Linked DNA regions of Canis lupus familiaris. The protein of the gene in region 1 purifies or fractionates together with the protein of each later gene. This does not show direct contact. Links are inferred from orthologs where the notes say so. Each region holds a gene or a part of one and is shown on either strand. Other genes may lie near its edges.

The links.
Region 2: the proteins of FNTB (region 1) and DYRK1A purify together in Homo sapiens (affinity purification with mass spectrometry; 3 studies listed by BioGRID, counting the BioPlex papers as one). This does not show direct contact. The link is inferred for Canis lupus familiaris from reciprocal best matches to the Homo sapiens genes FNTB and DYRK1A.

The regions. Positions count from the first base shown.
Region 1 is NC_049229.1:39,638,169-39,642,679, reverse strand, and holds the start of FNTB (protein farnesyltransferase subunit beta), read right to left. Parts: upstream 2,918-4,511; 5' UTR 2,824-2,917; coding exon 2,680-2,823; exon of another isoform or gene 2,672-2,679; intron 1-2,671. UniProt on the Homo sapiens protein: Essential subunit of the farnesyltransferase complex. Catalyzes the transfer of a farnesyl moiety from farnesyl diphosphate to a cysteine at the fourth position from the C-terminus of several proteins having the C-terminal sequence Cys-aliphatic-aliphatic-X.
Region 2 is NC_049252.1:32,311,509-32,315,323, forward strand, and holds part of DYRK1A (dual specificity tyrosine-phosphorylation-regulated kinase 1A), read left to right. Parts: intron 1-1,649; coding exon 1,650-1,790; intron 1,791-3,815. UniProt on the Homo sapiens protein: Dual-specificity kinase which possesses both serine/threonine and tyrosine kinase activities. Exhibits a substrate preference for proline at position P+1 and arginine at position P-3.

The DNA.
Region 1 (4,511 bases):
TAGTTTTTTTTCCTTTTTTTGTTGACTGCCTCCCTGGCCTAGAAGAAAAGTTTCATAAAGGCAGCAGCTTGGCCTCTTTTGTTCATTGCCTTACATCCAGTACCTTTAACAGTGCCTGGCACATAGAAGACACTCATTTGCTGAATGAATAAAAATGTGAGTGAACAGAACAGAAGAATCCATAGCTAAGCGCTCTTTACACTATTTATAGGTTTAAATAATAATTTAATTTAAATAATTTAACTAATATAATAATTAAATTTAAATTAAAAATAATTTTACTTTAATTTAAATTGATAATCAGACAGGAAACAGAGACAAGCATTTGTTCTTATTGGTAATGGCACAAAATTGAACCCTGTCATTAAATCCCTATGAAAAAATGGACAGAACCAAAAGAATAACTAGTTTCTTCTGTAGACAATGCCTCCTAACAAGGTTGGTATTTCTTATGATATACCTCATCATTAACCTACCCACCTAGTACCTCTCTAAGCTTCAGTTTTCTCATCTGTGAAATGGAAAAAGATTGACTGATACAATGTATGGAGAGCATTTAGCACAGAACTGGGACTCCGTAAATGGATGCTGCTATGATTATTAGTAATGCTGAAACTGAGGTAACCATCTATATGAGACACTACATCATCTTTCTACTCTCTAGAACTGTTTATCCCAGACTTTAAAAATGTGAACTGGAAGAATGACATGTTAAAGACATACAGGATGCTTTATTATCTATCACATAGTTGGGCCTACATTTGAAAGACACCCTATAATAACAATGTTCCATATCAGAGCCTAGCCTTGTCCTTGGCTGACCCTTTGACAGCCCAGAATCTTGTTGCATCCATTTTTGCATCACTTATTACACCTAGACACTTAGAGTATAAGTGCTAGTATTTCCTGGCAGGAACTAAGCAGGGGTGCTCTACTGGCAGGGGAGGGGGGGGGGGCGGTTAGCAGTATAGGAAAAAGAGAGCATAGCAGTAAAACTTCTAATAATATTCCTGTTTTCTGACTTGCCCCTTGAACCATGGAAATCTCTGTCCTGTACGCTAAATTAATAGATGAGCTTCTGATTTCCTTTTCTTTTCTTTTCTTTTTTTTTAAGATTTATTTATTTATTTGAAAGAGAGAGCAAGAAAGCATAAGCATGGGGGAACAGTAGAGGAAGAGGGAAACGCAGGCTCCCCATCAAGCAGGAAGGCTGATGCGGGGCTCAATCCCAGGACCCCGGGATCATGACCTGAGCCTAAGGCAGACACCCAACCAGCTAAGCCACCCAGGAGGCCCTGATTCCTTTTTCTCCACTAGAATTCCGTCCATATGCCTATCTTCTGGGTCAATTAACTACATAAAAAGTGACCCAATAGTTTCACGTCACATGAAAAGGAAAAGGCTTGACCTGAATAAACTCTACAGTCTGCCACTTAGGAATACTGCAAAGATCCTGTAGGTTTTTCATTGATGGGAGATTTCCTTGCAATCTTTTGCAAAAGGCTTCTGTAGAAAGACACACTGGTGGGTTAACTAAGCTGGGGAGCTACATTCAAAAGGTAAGGGTTAAAACCCATGTGGCATAAATCTCCAGTTACAATATTCTTTCTGCTGTTATGTGTATGACCGTGTATTCAAGTCTTTTGTTATGAATGCATAATTATATTCATAGTCATAAATATAAAATATGATAACTATCACTACTAATTTTGCCCAATTACAGGCTTCCAAGTTCGGGTGTGAAAGTCAAAGCAAGTCTCCTAGGTTAAGCCTGGGTACTATCTTACTAAGAGATCTAACTTTATTTGTTAATACTACAGCCCGATACTACTTGTTAGTACTAAAAAGGATCATCTCAACCACTTCTAGTGACGGGTGGGCATACATTTCCACAATAACCTGGGAACAATTCCAAATGGAGAATGAAAAGAAAACCAAAAGAGTTCACTACCGACTCCTCGAACACTTGTCGAAGGGACAGGTTCGAGGCCTCAGTGAATGAAGGGTGAGTTGTCTAAAATGCATTCTTTTATTATGGCGCTTTCCGAACAGTACTGTTTTCCTCAACAGGGCTGTGCCACGCTCATGATCAGAAGCTGTTTTATTTCTTTGTATTTCCAGCGTTTAACATTGTGCCCGTCCCTTTGCTGGGGCTCGAACGATTGAATCCCAAAGCGCCCACTCACGAGGCAGGCCCTACACCTGGCACTGTGGCTCAGCAATCAAGCAGATCCGGAACGGCAGGAGCGCGGTCTGGCCGCTCCTCCTCACCTCCACGTCCCAGCACTGCGAGCAGGGTTAGGGAAGCGCACCATCCATCCGACCACCTCCCACTGTCCCGGCGGAGTGAAACCGGCGGTCCGACCGGCCCGGGCTGCTGCGGACCTCCAGGCACAGCACACGATCCTCTCCGCTTCCTTCGGCAGAGAGGACCCAGGTACTGTCCTCGCCTCCAAACCCAACCCTGACGCCGACCCTCTCCCCAACCTGGCCCCACAAACGCTCCATTCCCCAACCCGACCCAGCCTGGGCGCCCAGAGCTTCCCAGAGGGGAGGCGCCGCGGTGCACTGTGGGAGTCGTAGTTCATCGGTGAGTTCCGCACGCCTACGGCCCTGCGGACGGGACTCCCGCTCCCAGAAGCCCCCGCGTGGGCGCCTCGCTCAGTCCGGCCGCCTCACCTGTTCTACGGACGTGACTGTTTCCACCGAGTCGTCCTGCAACCGCTCCCGCGCGTGCTCGGGCCTCAGACTGTACAGCGGCTCTGACCAGACAGGGGAGGAAGATGGAGGGCAATAGTAGGTGAAGGAACTCGGAGAAGCCATGGTCAGGAGAGCAGCGGGCGGTGTATAGGACTCCCTTCGTCAAACAACAACGCGCATTGAAACTCAAGCGGGCTAAAGCGCTACGGAGAGCGGGTCGAGTCAAAAAGACTTTGAACGCGAATCGCTCTCCACCCACCCACACAGCTTCGGGGAGAGGGTTACTGGGATGCTGCTGCCCCCCATTGGGCAAGAGGAGCTGCTGCAGGAGGCTCAGCTGCCTGGAGCGCACGGAAGGACGGATGGGTCTCTCCAATCTGGATTTCATTTCCGAGAGATGGTGTAGGACTCCTCGGGTCGTTGTGCAAATTAACACACGCAGGCACGCACACTTCGACATTGTGCTAATTGTCGCCTAATTGCAATGGCAGTCGTTCGCAGTTTCGGATGCCCAAGAACTGTGAAACTCAAAAAACATTTTTTGACACATCTCCTGACTCAGACACACTATCGCTAATAGAATTACTGTGCACCTTTGGGTGCGTGGGAGCCGCCCAGGAGAAACCGTCGGCTTCTCAACGAGGGAATTGCCTTCTCGGTACTCAGGGATGGAGGGAAGAGGCATTGTAGTTGTCTCCTATTGTCCCCCAGGGAGCCACAATACAGTAGTAGGGTCTAAAGCGCAGTAAAAGGAACAAGTATAAGTGAAACGACAAAGGAAATACTCGTTTATCAGGCAGTTTTTTAGGGAGCACCTACTATATGTCAAACAGTGTGCTAGGCCCTAGGTATACAAAAGTGAACAAAACAAACAAGCTCCCTGCCCCTAGGAACCTTATAGTCTAGTGGAATTGACAGAATTAATGAATGAACGCAATAATATATGAAGACTTGCCATAAATGGTATGAAAGAAAATAACAGTCTACAAGAGACTGAAAGGAGGACTGGACTAATTAGATTGGGTGGTCAGGCCAAGCCCCTCTGAGGCCTCTCTTAGACCCAAAGGATGACAAGGAGCCATCCACATGAACAATATGGGGAAGAGCTCCCTAGAGGAAGCAACAGTAAGTCTGAGAGAACACTGCCACAAATATACTTATGTATGTGTTTTAATTATAATGATTTAATCTAAAGGTATTCAGAATAAACAATTCTTATTGAGTAGGATTAATCATCATATATGCCTCCATAAAAATGTTAAAGTTGTGATTTTAGGGAAATCCTGTCTTTGGACAAGGAATAGAAGAGACTCTCTTTCAGGGTCCTGAAAGGACTACGTCAAAATTATAATGCCAAGAATTGGGGGAGGGGGCAGAAGATACTGTAATAACAGGCCTTCCAGATAGACTTGGCCCTGTCCAGACTTGGACAACTTCCTGCTCAGGGTATTTTACTCTGTTGCCCCTCAATTCCAAGTCACACGTCTGGAACCCAAGGAACTGTGGTGTGGCATTTCACAACCAACCATTCCCCTTTTATCCGTCTCTGGTGTTAAATAGAAGCTCTCAGAAAGATCCTAAAGATGAGGCTGGGATGGCCTAAAGTCCTCAGACAAGTAAACACTATCACCATGTTCATTGCAGTGGTACTGTTGCTAAGTTAAGTCCTGTAGGTGGCAAAATGTTTCTAAATCTGAGAATAAATGACCCTGTGTGGGTTAGGGTCATGGATATGGCTGCACTGTACTTCCCTCTCTGTTGGCATCTTATTGTCTTTCTCTTGGTTCTGTTTTGAAAAGAAAAGACAGTCT
Region 2 (3,815 bases), on another chromosome or scaffold:
TGTAATCTGAAAATTGTTTTTTAGAAAAAGATGCCTACTTACCAATTTAAATATTCAAATGTTGGGTCAGTCTTTAATTTGCATTTATCCATTTTTAAATTTTTTCAATTATCCTAATGGGGAATTTAGGATTTTGAGATGGGGGTGAGATTTTTTAATTTGCTGGTAAGAACAGTAAGTTAGTTTAGAAAATGTTAAGCCTTTTGATTTATATTTTACAGATTTTCAGTATAACAAAAATAATGATAAAAGGCCTGAGGGACACTCTGAAAACAATGTAAACATCACTGTGTAAATTTTGAGAATATGATTTGGAATAAAGAAGTGATGACCAGTAGCCTTAAATTGGGTATTTGATCTGAATAATTGAGGGTGAATTAAGATGATAGAATTTTAGAGCTACACACTATGTGTAATTATTCTAATTCATGGGTTTTCAGTCTATGTTCTTAGAAGATGTTTGGGGATCAGAGCCAGTGCCTAGGAGGGCATGGGAGAGTCATACTCTCTGGCAGTCAGAGGAATTGGCCTTTCATTGGTTTAAAACCTTGTGAAGTTTTCATTTTTTAAAGAAAAGTTACGCATTACAGATCTTGATCAGTCCATGCATTTATAAATAAGAGAGAATGGCCAACGAAATTTAATGACTTACTTATACTGGGTTATATAGCTGTTAGTATCGTATCAGAAACCTGTCCCTTCCATCTTGCTAATTCACTCGAACTATAGGTTGTGAGCCACTCATGGGCAGTAACTGGCATAGTGTGTGTTTGATAATGTTTCGTTATAAAATACAATTATATTCTCTTAAATCACCTGAAACTTCAGTGGCTTCCATTTTATTCATTGTAAAATCCAAGTCCTTTGAGTGGCTCGAAAATCCCCCCACTCCCTCTACCTCCTGCCTCCTCTGTGCAGTGTTGCCTCCCTTACTTTCTCTGCCAGCACACAGCCTTACTCTGTGGTCCCTTGGAAACAGTAGCCACAGGCCCAGACTAACTGAGGCCTTTGCATTAGTTCTTCCCTGTGCCTTAGAGGCCCTTCCCCAGGGGGCATGTGGCTCTTCCCTCCTGGCCACAGATCTTCAGCTCCTCCGTCTTCTCCGTGATCCTCTAGTACCAGTGGATGACAGTACCCTGTCACTCTCCATCCCTTTTCCTTCCTCCATAGGTCTTAGTTGCCATGGACAAAATATATTTAACTGTGTATTTGTCTATTATTGATCTCTTCCCTCTATGATACCAACTTTTTGGCAGTGATTTTTATCTGTTTTATTTATTGCTCTGTGTATGGTTTCTAGCATGTAGTAGACACTTGTATTTGAGCGAATGAATCTGTGCTTAAAAATATACTTTATTCGGTCCACACTTTATTAAGCCTCTGGGATTTTTTTTTTTTTTTTGATGGTTATTTGATTTTATGTGTTTAATTGTCTGCCCTGTCCTGTATGGCATGAGGGGACTGCAGGGCGACAGGGAGTTTCTCTTTTGTTCATGATTGTATGCTCAGTGCCTGGAGGTGTGCCTGACACTCGGGAGGTACTCTGTTTGTTTATAATTCAGGAATGAATGAATGGATGGATGGATGAACAGAATTAGGATGTACTACAGTGGAAGTTACAGGCTTTTTAATTTTTATTTTCAATACAGGTAGATCAGATGAATAAAATAGTGGAAGTTCTGAGTATCCCACCTGCTCATATTCTTGACCAAGCACCAAAAGCAAGAAAGTTCTTTGAGAAGTTGCCAGATGGCACTTGGAACTTAAAGAAGACCAAAGATGGAAAACGGGTAAAATAGGGAAACTTTGTTTTTTGAGTCTTTGTTACTTATTTTACGAGAGCAGTCTTTCTTTCTGTAGCTCATCTTGCATCACTTGAAATCCGTGTTTCAGTTAACAGTTTGATTAATAACGTTGGTGTATGCTTCTTTAGATGGTGGGTGTAGTTTGACCTGATGTGTCTGTTTGGACCAGTGTTTGTTTCATGGTCAGAGTTAAGGCTTCATTTTGAAAACTCTGTGTCTGCTTTGTGAGACAGCCAATCAAACCACCATGCCTCATTGCGGCAGTAGAATCCGTCAGTTTGACCTTTTTTCCTCACAGTGTGGGTCTGTGATGAAGTCCCAGTTAACAGTACCGCAGCTGTGAGCAACAGAGGTCATAATTGCAGTAAATCGCCTTTTTTTTTTTTTTTTTTTCAGTTGGGGGGGAAGGGATTTTTGACTTAGGCAATTTGTGACAAGAATATGAACTGACTTAGAGAGTCATTGGATAGATTCCTGGAGATTCTTATTCTTAGGTCAGTGGCATGGATAGCAGGAATGTCAAATCTCCAAAATACTCAAAGTGAGGTTTTCAAATCACTAAGTTTGTTTTAGTAATCTTCTTTTAGCTGAGAAGTTTTTTCAGATCCTTAAGTGATGTCAGTTTAACAGAGTAAATGATAGCAATTTTGCATCTTGATTTACTTTTTGTTTTATGTATCTGAAAATAATCGTATGTTGTGATCTAGCTTATTTCTAGTATAAAATGAATGTCATATATAAATATCTGGTTGTATGTGATATGTATACCAGACACCTTGTGATTCTAGTTTTGCATTCTTAATATTTAGGAGATTTTATTTTTGCTCCAAGTTTTATTTTGCCCTTGCATTTTAGCGATGCTGCCACCAGGTGTCATTTCCAGTGAACTGAAGATGATGGTTGTTTGCTTTAATTCACCTTCATGTAGCTGTGGAGTCTCAACTTTCATTATCGAATGATTTTCTTTAGAATATTTAAAAATATATCTGTAATTAAGGGTTTCCCAGCTGATTTGTAACCTACTGCATTCTGCTTTATTTATTAAAGTTCCAGGTAATGGAGTATCTGGCAGCTGAATTGTGCCCACTCCCCTTAAGAAAGGGGTGGGTAATGCCATGCAAGCCTCCTGAGTCCTTTTGCCTTCATCCACATCGGTAGCTTCTCAGGCCTGGCCCCTTTCCCCTTCAACCAAAACACAGCCTCCTCGGAATCCTTCTTAGTTTCCCCAGCATTTAAAGTAGCTCCTACCAGTTGATTGGAATTAGGGTGGAGGATATGAAACCTCCTTTATAGTTCTTATCTCTGTGCAATACAGGCTACTACTTTCTCCATTTTGAAGTGTTTTTTTTTTTCCTTCTGCCTGTTGTTTCTTTTTTCTAAATAAAACATTCATCCCATCCCATTCATATCCCTGTCTTATAAAACCACAGTTAAGCCACTATGGGCTGTAACCTTTCATTTCTCCCAAATTGAGCTATGAGTATTTTAAAAAATTATTTGGGGAGGCATTTCAGAAATGAAAAGAGAAATCTTTTCCCTTTTTAAAATTGAAAGTGAGTATCATAACCTGCATTTAATACATATTAACTATAGGTTTTATGAGATTTCCTTAGCTGCAATTAGCAACTGACTTAAGAAACTTAATTTTTAAAATATAAAATAACTATTTTGTTTTTGAATAGAAGTAAATTTTGCAACGACAGAAACATCAAATCCATAACCAAATGTTTACATTATAAAGGATGCACTAGGGAATTTAAGCATAAGTATAAATTGAGTTGCACGTGTTCTCATTGGATTTGTGTTTATTTTCTCAGTGATTTTATTTTACTTTTAATTTCTCAACGTGTGTTTCAAGAGCCCATTTTAGCTTCTTGGTAATGAAATCTATATCTACTATATGTGTTTTTTTTTAGTGAGGGAGGTGGATGAAGAATTAAGGTTCTGTTTTGTTAAAGTATAATTTTTGTACAACATAGGCATACCTTAAGTGTTTGTTTTGTTTTAATC